Linked DNA regions of Rattus norvegicus. The protein of the gene in region 1 binds, or shares a complex with, the protein of each later gene. Links are inferred from orthologs where the notes say so. Each region holds a gene or a part of one and is shown on either strand. Other genes may lie near its edges.

Region 1 (3,650 bases):
TTTTGTCATAAAGATCTGGCCAAGCTACTGTGAATCCACCTGGTGTTGATGGGGTAGATGAGTCTTTACTTCAAGACAACCATGTCTTGGTGACTCTCCCTCATCACAAGGAAATCCCTTCGTCACTGACTGACCATGGGGCCAGGCTGTGAGGACAGAGGCTCTAGTGGGTGAGTCTGTCTGCGCCCAACCCTATCACCGGGTTTCTAGCTGTCAGATGCTACGTGCTTGGCATACGCCCTGGCACTTCTATCTTATTTTGTCTTGTCTCTTCCTCTGCATTCTCATGGCACCCATGGCACACTGAAATCGTTTCCATAGTGGAACACTCCAGAGTTATATGATCCCAACCTCACCTCCCCTTCGATATTAATTTTACAGCATATTTCCTACCTCATTCAGCTACGTGTTCCCAGTACAAATGGTCAATAATTGAATAAACAGCCTATCTGCTAAGTAGAGGGGAGCTCCCCACATCCTGCAAACCTGTGCAGTCCTATTTGCTCTTTAGGATGTCACTCAAAATGCCTCTCTATCTAAGCACTCACTGCCCTACCTAGCAGCAGCAGCGACTTCTGTAGCTATCCATAGGTGCTGTTCTGTATTGTTAAGTCTGTGCTGCCAAGATGTCCTCTGGTGGGCAGTTTGGTGTCCGTAGCTTACTCCCCAAGACCATGCCTTGGGCCTTAGAGCAGCCAATAATGCCCCTAACACTGGCACAGGTAAACTGTCCATACACTGTGGTGGTATAGTCTGAGGATCTGTCACTCTCACCTTTGCTTAACTTGACCCCAGATTTAAGGGAGCAGTTTGCATCTTCCTGGAGCTACATGTGCAGTCTGCCACTATGACCCAGTGCAGAGTGCAGCACTGCTCAGGGGACCAACGTTCATCCACACCTAAGCTGCTCAGCCTTGGTCTGCTTCCACAGGGCCCGAACATGGATGTTCAAAAGCCATTAGTTTTTAAAATATAAAGTTTTGACAGTATCTGTTTCCTCTCAACTGCCAACAAACTTCCAAATCCCTTATTCTGTCTTATACATCTCAGTAGGATGCTGGGACACTTGTCTACCTTTGGAAGAGTCTCCTTATCTTTCTCCACTAAGTATCTTGGAAATGTGTTTTACTTTTACTGACAACACAGCAGTTCTGCAAATGGAACAGGGTCATGTGATCGCTACAAAGAGCTGTGTGAAACCACCTAAATCCAGTAATGAGGAATCAGTCATGGCCCATCACAGAGTAGCTCATGACCACTAATAGCACAGAGGTGATGTTCATGATTGCGTGCTAAATGACAAAGCAGAATGTGAATGCCAGCCCATTGTACAAAGGGTACAGTTGGGCTGGGCAGATGGCTCTGTGCTTGCCATTCCTGCAAGGGACACAGGGGTCAGTTTCCAGCAGCTGTGTTGTGTGGATCACAACCGCCTGTAACTCCAGATTCAGAGACACCAACATCCTCTTCTGGCCTCTTTGAGCACCTGCACTTGCACACACATGCACGCATGGCATATGTATGCACAGAATTAAAAATAAAATACAATCTTTTTAAAAAGATGCACTATGGAGCAGCCGGACAGACTGCTCAGTGGTTGGGGACGCTGGCCATTCTTGCAAAGGACCTGGGTTTGGTTTGTGGTGCTCAACTGGTGGTTCACAACTACCCCTAACTCTAGCTTCAGAAGATCCAATGCCTTCTGTTGACCTCGGCAGCCACCATGCACACACATGACGCACATACATACATGGAGGCAAAACATACGTACAAAACAAACAAATCCGAAAAGTAAACATCTAAAAAGTGTACTGCTAGAGAAGATACCCTGAAAACATGCCGTGGCTGTCCCTGGCTGGCTACACTGTGAGTTTTCTTTCATTCTTTTGATTTATGCCGTTTTACTACATGTGGGGAAGCTAATTGGTTTGTTTGACTCATTCATTTGACATTCTCTACAAAGCCATGGGGAAAACAAGAATCCAGCCTTAGAGTTCAGCGTTGCTGTGTTCAGGGCAGCCAGTCCAACCCAAATAACCATGTTCCCAAGAGTCTGGAGGCTTCTGTCAGCCTGTGATGACATCCCTGATTGGCCCCCTCTGAATTGTCCCTAGCGTCCCCCATTAAGATCCTTCCCAACTTCCAGGAAGTCACACAGACCTTGGCTCTATTCTCTGTTTTCAAGAATTCCAGTGCTTGTGGATCACAAGTGAAGCATATGATTGAAAGCTACACCTGCCAGCACAGCACGGAACCCGGGGTGCAGCTGATCAGTGTGGCCACTGGTGGGCACTGGTGTCTGTTCCCTCTGTCCCAGTTATGCCACAGGTGGGATCAACACGGGCTACAAAAGTATGCTGGGCTTCTCCACATATCACTACTCCCTGGGCTGTATACCTTCCCACTGCTCCCCCAACCGGTCCTGAGCCATCTCCACAGAACAAAGGAATAAAGGGAGCTTTTATATGCGCTCCACCAGTCAAGATAGGGCAAAGACCAAAGCAAGACACATCAAGCACATGGCCAAGAGGAATGGCTGAGTCTAAAGATGGGATTCAGTCCCTACTCTGACATTCCACTCTCCTATAAAGTTACCGTCATGCATCACATAACAAAAGGAAACCATTCTGAGCCTGTCACGTGGTGATTTTGTTATGCAGAAGACATTACAGAGGGTTGGTATAAACCTTAGACGTTAGACATTCTGCACACCTGGGCTATGTGGTACGTGCACTCAAACATACAATCTGTCACCCACGGGAACATCACGTGAAGCACTTGACTACACACAACATGTAGACAGATAAAACAAGAAGGGCTCTGGCTAAGGAGCTGAAGAAGAGGCAGAACGCAGTTCACTCACTCATTAAGAGGAGCCTTCTAGTGCCCTTCCCAGGAACAAGTCCATCAGAAGCCAGTAGACCAGAGATCACTTCGGCTCTCTCCAAATCAGATGCAAACTTACCGATCGATGGCAATAACGCCAAGGGTCAGCATGCTGGCCGAGCTGATCAGCAGGTAGAGAAGGGCAGAGAAGTTGCACCAGACCACACCGAAGATCCATTCCCTCCGTATGGAGCTGGTCACCACGAACGGCAGCACCAGCACGGACAACAGGAAGTTGGACAGGGTCAGACTGAAGACGAACTTGTTGCTGAGGGTGAGAAGGTAGGATTTCTTGTACAAGGTGACCACGATGACCAGGTTGCCCAGGCAGACGAGGACAGTGATGATGATGATGGCGATGAACTCGGAGACAGCGCCCCCTTCGCCACCCTCTGCGGCAGTGAGGTTGCTCAGCTCCTTCCTGTAGCTGAGGGAGGAGTTGAGGCTCATGGTCAGTGCGCCTCGGGATGCGGTGAGCAGAGCATGCTGGGACCACTGCAGAAAGAAGGCGAGACCAGAGGTGGGAATGACTCATTCACACTTTATGAAAGAGGGAGTGGAGGCTTAGCAGGGACTGTTATGTACTTCCCATTGGCCGACTTGATGGGAACCTGGACAGTCTTCCCCCATGAAACCTCTACAACTTTTGTGTATGGCTTGCTGACTCTGGAACTGACCGCCAAACCCATCTCACTCCCTGTGGTACCCTGGCTTTGAGATGTCTCCCAAAGGCCCACATGCCAAAGCTTTAGCACTCAGCTGGA
Region 2 (3,650 bases), on another chromosome or scaffold:
TGCGTGTGTGTGCAGGCATGAGATGGTTGTGGGGATGAGAAAGCAAAATAACAAACAATGGGGATGAGTGGGGTGCCGTCACAAATGCTCTCGTTCGTTGGCTAACGTAAAGTGCCTCGCATTAACAGTTAAAGATTTTTTTTTTAAAATAATTTCTGAGGCCAGAGGTTATCAAGACAGCTAGTCATCAACGGCCTGCTGCCTAAGGGCTACAGTGTTAGGCATATTTTTTAATTGAGGAAGTAAATTAAGATTTTTTTTTTCCAAATGGGTCTGAAAATTTAAAGTCAGACTGACCGTCGTATGGGCGGAATTTAGTAGTTTTGAAAGGCAAGTCGTTGGTTTAAATGGAGAACTGGGGGAAATAAAGATCATATGGGAAAGCATCAATTCTCAAAATCTTAAAATGGCCAACTTTCCCCCAGCTGTGTCTAGTTAGTCTTTGAGCCAAACACATTTTCTGTTTTGCACTTTACTTGTTGACACGTCATTTGCAAATGCACACCGAGAGAGATGGCTGATGGCCCTGAGGTGATCTCTGCTTTGTCCCCAGTCTGTGTCCTCAGTTTCCCCACTAAGATCTTCTCGTTTGCCCTGCTTGGTTAGGAGTTTTCTGGTTTTGAATGTGCCTACCCATCGCTGTTGCTCCTTGCAGCCTGCGGGTCCTCTTCGCCGCCCCTTTTAAAGAGAGATTGAAAGCTCACCTATCTGCAAGGCACTGCAATTTCATACAAAACCCACACAGTCTCTGTACCTCCAACAGCCAGGTAGGAAAACCTGACAGTCCTGCGTACCATCCTCCCGGTTCACTCTTAGGTCGACTTTCTGGCTAAATGGGGCTGTCTACTGAGACTCCATACCTTCCTTCCTGCATTAGCAGGGCCCTCAGGAGACTCAGGCTGGAGACAGGAGGGACGGGTAATTGTTTTCCTCTGCTTTCCCTAAATGCACAAGCTCCAGGGAGCAGAGGCAGACTTAACTCCTGAGGGTGGGGCACGTCAGAATCCTCTCTGTGTCCAATCCATGCCCATGGCAGCACAGATGGGACATTCCTATTCCTCACTTCTTGGTACAAAATGAATTAACCTTTCTGTGGTGGTAGGGGCTTTGTACAGGGCCAGTGACACTCAGCTTTGAGATCGATTAGCTCAACCAATATTAATTTTTCCCCCCTTGGCATTAAACTTCAGGAAGTTAGCTCTGAGCTGGGAAAAATCTACTTTTGCCCTCTGTATTTCTGAAGGTCAAATAAATATTATGTTATACTCTTGGAAAATGTAGTGGTAGGCAGGCCATGGACAGTTAGGGCATATTTAATAGTTCTCTGTCCAAGAACAGAGCACGGTGCTGAGTCTTTCTCGTCAAGATGGACCCGAGCTTACTGCTATACCACAGTGAGAGAACCGTCATTGTATGGGGTCAAAATAAGGAATCCAGCCCCCCATGGAGGTCCCAAATATCACTTTCACAGGCTAAATTTAACTTCTCTGAGATCCACAAAGAAGGCAAGCTAGGAAGGCTTCTTCCTCTTTTCAGGGAGAAAATAGAAATGAGAAGTTCTGGTTTAGAACCCTCCACCGCACTAACACTCAGGGAGGACGGATATAAAAAAGAGTTAAGAACTTAGGGAAATCTGTGAAGTAATTAAACTTCAGGGAGGACACCGATTCCATCAGGCTAAACAATGGCTGCTGCACTTCTTAAAAACAGCGCTACTAGCCTTGTCCCGTTTTCTCCAGACATTTTTGAAGAGATAGATTGCAGCGCACGGCCACGTTTATTTTTGCTTAACTAGCCTCATATTGAAGAGTCCCTCACACCTAGGGCAGGGCACCTCTGGGGGGGGGGTCTTTTTGTTGACTGACAGGTGCCAATCTCGTTGCTTAGACTTTTTGAGAGAGGCATAGATCAGGAATCGGTAATTTCAGAATTGGTGTCTCATAGGCGACAGGATTATTTAATAGATTACAGTTACAAAGCAGTAACTGACTCAATCCTGAAGTCAGTGAGCTAGCCCCCAACCCCTTCTGCATATTAACTAACCTTTGAGTTTTGGGCTGCAACTTAAGGAGCACATGAGCCCAAAGCTGTGGCACGGGTGACGTCATCTTTTTCTTTTTTAAACCCGGTTAGTTGATCTAACAAATTCTAGAAGTTTCTATGAAAATGAACTTGAGTCAGTACCCTGAAAGGTACTGTTCGATTTGTTTCTCTAACACTTAATACATGGTAGGGGACAGATGCTGGTCCCCGTTAGGTAAGTCCCTCAGCCTTGCTGTCTTGTATCAGTACCGAGAACAATGGGTACCGAAAAGGCAAACTCCCTATTTATTGACTATTTCCTCAGTATTTCCTCAGTTCACATTCTTCATGGAAGGCAGGACCCCATCTTTGCCACATTATCTGTCTCGTTTTAAGAAAAACCTTTACTGTCACTGTGGTATTGCCTCGCCGCCATATTGTCTTAAACCAGGAAGGTCATTTCAAAGGCAAAACAGCACCCGGATTGGCCAGAAGTAGCTAAGTCCCTGTCTTCCCACCATTTTCACACCTCATTTTCAACTGTTCAGGTAGGAGTGCTGATTTTTTTTTTAATTAGAGAAAGAAGCATCTGCCTATCGTGTTAATTCTTTAATTCTGAAGCAGGGAGCTTGAAGCTTGTCGGCAAGGGTTGTGGATTCCGACTTTTAAGTGAAGATGTAACTGAAAAGATATTTTCCCCGAGAGAGTATAAAACCCTACACCAGTTGACTCCAGTGAAACCTGCAGGGTGGTGGGTGGGAACCTCCTGTGTTGGCCAGCTCTGGCTGGCCAAGGGGTGGCCAAGGCCCGTCGGCCATGTTGGAGCCGCACTGCAGCAGACGAGGCTGCGGCAGAGGACCTGGCCTCAGAGACGCTGTCACCCGGCCAAGTGCTGTTCACTGTCCTCTGCAACCAGGCACCATTTTCCAGCGCGAGGGGCCGCTTTGGGTGGACACCGGTGCTTTTACTCTTATTCCTATGTGTTGTCCCCAAAGGTTGAGAAGGGTGTGGGGGTGCACCCATCAGCTCTTTCTTGGGCTGTCTAATATGCAAATTAGAAAAAAATGATTAGTAGCAATTAGCAGCTGTGCTTTCTAGAGGTTAGTACACACTCCTTCCAAAGTCCTGTCTCCTACAGGCCAGGTGCGGCCTGTCCTGCTCAGTGCCCTGCACAGATTTGACACTTACTCTCCGTTAAACCCATTAACATGTAGGATCCTCATCTGCTTCACAATGGTGCTTTTGCCAGACTCTCCAGCACCTGAGAAAGGAAAGTGAGGGCTTGGGTTAAGAAATAGGCTTGTCACACATCACCTGGATGATGGCCTTGGAAAGCAGCAGAAGCAGCACACAACATACACACAGTGACACAACTGCAAACCTCCTTCACATGACGACGCAGCAAAAAACAACAGACACGTCCAACATGGCGTCTACCTGAAATATCTCACCATAGGGTAACAAGCAAGAATTAAGTGCTCTGCTGTTCTTAAATAGCTTTTTTTTTCCTTGTGAGTTTTGTTGTTGTTGTTTTGTTTTCTCTTTGGGCTTTTTAAAACTCATGAGGCGATGAAGGAATGACGTCATTGTTACTGGAGGGGTGAAAATTTTAAGTCAAAACTGTGAAC
Region 3 (3,650 bases), on another chromosome or scaffold:
AAGGCCAGCCTAGAACAGAGCAAATGCTAGGTGAAGAAAAGCTTAAATCCAGGCCTGGTGGACCACACCTTTAATCCCAGTGCTTAGGCGACAGGGATGAAAATCTCTGAGTTCAAAGTCAGTCTGCAGAGCAAGTTCCAAGACAGCAAGCTTAGGCAGTGAAGGAGTTGGAAAACAGAAAGCTGGTGATAATGTAATAGAACAAGGGGGCCATGCTCCAGCCCCAGCAAGCAGCAGAACTCGGCAGCTTCAGCAACGTGGCTCTAGCTTTAGAGTCAAGAATAGAAGGGGCCACTGGGACAATTGATGCTGGTCAGCTGGAGCTAAGAAATTAGCGGTGATTAAGAAGAGACCAGCGTCACTGAAGTGAAATCTAACGAGAAGTGTTTTCTGAGAGCACAAAGAAGCTATATCCAGAGATAGCCACGGCTGTACCTCAGGATGCATCTGTACTTGGTAATGTGTAAGAGTCACCCAGGTGGTGCTGGTTTTGAAAGCATGGAGGGGGGTTGGGGATTTAGCTCAGTGGTAGAGCGCTTGCCTAGCATGCGCAAGGCCCTGGGTTCGGTCCCCAGCTCCGAAAAAAAAAAAAAAGAAAAGAAAAAAAAAAGAAAAGAAAAGAAAAAAAAAAAAAAAAAAGAAAGCATGGAGGGGTCATGAAGAGCAGCTGAGGCTTGGCACTGTGAGAGGCCAGGGAAGGCCATTGGTGAAGGTGCAGCCTCATTTGCAGCTGACAGCTCTGGACTAAAGGTGTCATATAAAGATGTTGAAGCTTAAGCACAAGAAGGGAGCCTATGAGAGGCTAATGGTGAAGCCTAGTTGCAGCAGAAGACCCCAGTGTATGGGAGATGTCAGGACCATGGGATGATCACCAAGAACAGCAGCAGCAGTGGAGTGGATCAGCCTGGGCTTAGAGTCCTACAGAGGGCAGAGCTGGAGAAGTGACACCAGCCCTTTGGAGGAGGCCTGAAGATCATGTGTGGATCCCAGACATTGAAACAAGAATCTGTAACATTAAAGTTGCTTTGGAGACCCCAAGATATTTGAGATGCCAGAGCCATGGGCTATCTGCTGAGGAAAGCTATTAACAGGGAGTGGAACCAATCCAGGAGAAAGAAGACTGTTGCAGTCCACAAAGACGAAAAAGGAGTTGAGATCTGAAAACTGCTTTGACATCGGACTTGGAGATGCAGGGTTTGGAGTTTGCCCAGCTGGTTTCCTGTCTGGCTTTGGGGATTACAGGTAAGTGATTGGATGAATCTCAGATGAGATTTTGAACTTTGGACTTTTAACATTGTTGAGACTGCTACAGACTAAGGGAACTCTGGAAGTTGGACTAAATGTATTTTGTATTATGCTATGTTTAGTCATGACCCCTATAGCCTCATGTGTTTGGACAACCCTATGGGGCCAGGGAGTGGAATGCAATGGCTTGTATATCCTCGGCCCAGGGAGTGGCACTGTTAAAAGGTGTGATCCTGTTGGAGTAGGTGTGTCACTGTGGGTGTGAGCTTTCAGACTCTTATCCTAGCTGCCAAGAAGCCAGTATCCTAGCAGCCTTCAGATGAAGATGTAGAACTCTCAGCTCCTCCTGCACCATGCCTGCTTGGATGCTGTCCTGTTCCCTCCTTGATGATAATGGGCTGAACTTCTGAACTTGTAAGCCAGTCCCAATTGAATGTTGTCCATATAAGAGCTGCCTTGTCGGGCTGGAGAGATGGCTCAGTGGTTGAGAGCACTGCCTGCTCTTCCAGAGGTCCTGAGTTCAAATCCCAGCAACCACATGGTGTCTCACAACCATATGTAATGAGATCTGATGCCCTCTTCTGGTGTGTCTGAAGACAGCTACAGTGTACTTATCTATAATAAATAAATCTTAAAAAAAAAAAAGAGTTGCCTTGGTCATGATGTCTGTTCACAGCATCATGTAATAAATGACAGGATTTATTACTGTGTGTACATATGCCTGTGGGGGAATCTGTGGAAGCCAGAGGCTGATATCCAGATATTTTCCAAAATCATTCTCCATTTAGTTTTGAGACAGGGTCTCTTCCTTGAACTTGGCCATTTTGGATTGGAAATCTGCTTGTCTCTGCCTCCCTGTTTTTTGGGTTATGGGCACTCATGGATATGTTCAGTATTTTTTGTTTTGTTAGGTTTGGGTTTTGGGTGCTAGGGATCCAAATTCAAGTCTTCGTGCTTGCATAAGCATACAGTTTACTCAGTGAACCGTCTCCTCTGCTTCACGTTTTTGTTTACAAGGTCTAGCTCTGTAGCCCAGGCTGGCCTTGAACTCTGATCCTTTTGATTTAGCCTTCCTGTTTCAGGTATGTGCTGACACACTTGGCTAACGTGGGTACTTTTTAAGGACAACAATAGCAAAGCAACAGTCTTCAGAAGATACTTTTAACCCAAGGTCTGTGCTCTAGTGTTGAGTCTGAGTTTATTCATTACCTGTTATTCCAGATGCTTTCAAACAGGTCCAGCGACTCCCGGAGTCTGTTGGTGTTGTTATCTTCCCGGATCACCATGTTGTAGCTGCTGCAGGCTGCCACATAGATGATGGCAGTGACATCTACGGTGGGGTAGAGAGGGAAAGGGGAGCACTTCAGACGGACAGTGTCAGTTGTGCTGGGGTTATGACTGCGCAGGTCCCAGACACTGACATTTGGGGATTGCATCTAGAATGCATTTAGAATATGGGCCGTATGCATGGCCGCAGTTGACCAGGGCTCTACCCAAAAAGATAATGGGTATGTGGGATGCTTAATTTGTGTTTTTTAGTATATGTGGTGCCGAAGCGAGCACGAGATTCGTGTTTAAGGAGACCGTGGTTATTTTTAACTATTATTTACACACAGTTGGATTAGAGTTTGTCTGACTAAAATGCAGCTAGGCACAGGGGCGGGAGCCAGCATGCAGCTACAAAGCATGCGAATCACCGTTAAAACACTGGATCCATTTTCTTCTCTCATCCCTCTGGCCTCCAACGTCAAACATGCTGTGGAAGAGAGACAGAGAGACGCCAGTTATCCGGGGAAGTGGGGGTCAAGGGCACATGCTTTCGCCCTGAGAGATGTCAGTTATCTGGGGAAACTGAGGCAAAGGGCACATATTTTCATGCTTCTCCTTTATTGCCAGAATGGTCGTTCGTGATGCAACCCCTGTGTCCCGGCCCTTGGTCGTGAGCTACAAGTCCGGCTGCCTCTCCCAGCTTCTGCTTGTCCTCTTTTCATTCTATATTGTGGTTGTAGGAGTCAAAAGTATGGCAGAAAAACGGCTGGAATAGTGTCTAGGGATACATGGTAGGTGCCTAATAGATGCAGTCCTTTCTAGTTTATATCACATCTTGTACCAAGTGCATGCTAAGTCTGTGCTAGGGCAGGACTTTCTGATCACTTGTCTCAGCCTCAGAAGACTGTCTGTCCTGCGGAAGTGGGAGGGCTTCCTCCTGACCCAGCTATACCCACAGCCCTCTCATCTGTCAGGCGCTTCTGAACAGTGCCTGTCAGGAGGTGCCTATCACCTTCACTCGGGCAGATGGCATTGCTCTCCCTGAGGCTCTCCAGTTGTTTGACCCGGGCTCGGTTTATGCAGTTTTCTTAGTGTCCTCGTGGCTCATCAGGCGGGCCCTGGCCTTCCTCCTGCCC

The links.
Region 2: the proteins of Gpr161 (region 1) and Gnas are in contact, whole or in part, in a cryo-EM structure (PDB 8SMV), measured with the Homo sapiens proteins. The link is inferred for Rattus norvegicus from reciprocal best matches to the Homo sapiens genes GPR161 and GNAS. Residues at the interface, in NP_001254539.1 of Homo sapiens: Arg125, Ala128, Val129, Leu130, Pro132, Met133, Met137, Ile211, Val214, Ala215, Lys218, Ala219, Lys267, Ala268, Thr271, Ile272, Trp327; in NP_000507.1 of Homo sapiens: His41, Lys216, Val217, Phe219, Phe376, Cys379, Arg380, Asp381, Ile383, Gln384, Arg385, His387, Leu388, Tyr391, Glu392, Leu393, Leu394.
Region 3: the proteins of Gpr161 (region 1) and Gnal are in contact, whole or in part, in a cryo-EM structure (PDB 8KH4), measured with the Homo sapiens proteins. The link is inferred for Rattus norvegicus from reciprocal best matches to the Homo sapiens genes GPR161 and GNAL. Residues at the interface, in NP_001254539.1 of Homo sapiens: Arg125, Ala128, Val129, Leu130, Pro132, Met133, Tyr135, Pro136, Met137, Ile139, Ile211, Val214, Ala215, Lys218, Ala219, Lys267, Ala268, Thr271, Trp327, Asn328, Lys329, Arg332; in NP_001135811.1 of Homo sapiens: Ala41, His43, Lys203, Val204, Phe206, Phe363, Cys366, Arg367, Asp368, Ile370, Gln371, Arg372, His374, Leu375, Gln377, Tyr378, Glu379, Leu380, Leu381.

The regions. Positions count from the first base shown.
Region 1 is NC_086031.1:80,135,246-80,138,895, reverse strand, and holds part of Gpr161 (G-protein coupled receptor 161), read right to left. Parts: intron 3,382-3,650; 5' UTR 3,337-3,381; coding exon 2,966-3,336; intron 1-2,965. UniProt on the Homo sapiens protein: Key negative regulator of Shh signaling, which promotes the processing of GLI3 into GLI3R during neural tube development.
Region 2 is NC_086021.1:183,541,173-183,544,822, reverse strand, and holds part of Gnas (GNAS), read right to left. Parts: intron 3,284-3,650; coding exon 3,211-3,283; intron 679-3,210; coding exon 634-678; intron 1-633. UniProt on the Homo sapiens protein: Guanine nucleotide-binding proteins (G proteins) function as transducers in numerous signaling pathways controlled by G protein-coupled receptors (GPCRs).
Region 3 is NC_086036.1:63,017,716-63,021,365, reverse strand, and holds part of Gnal (guanine nucleotide-binding protein G(olf) subunit alpha), read right to left. Parts: intron 3,002-3,650; coding exon 2,943-3,001; intron 2,576-2,942; coding exon 2,455-2,575; intron 1-2,454. UniProt on the Homo sapiens protein: Guanine nucleotide-binding protein (G protein) involved as transducer in olfactory signal transduction controlled by G protein-coupled receptors (GPCRs).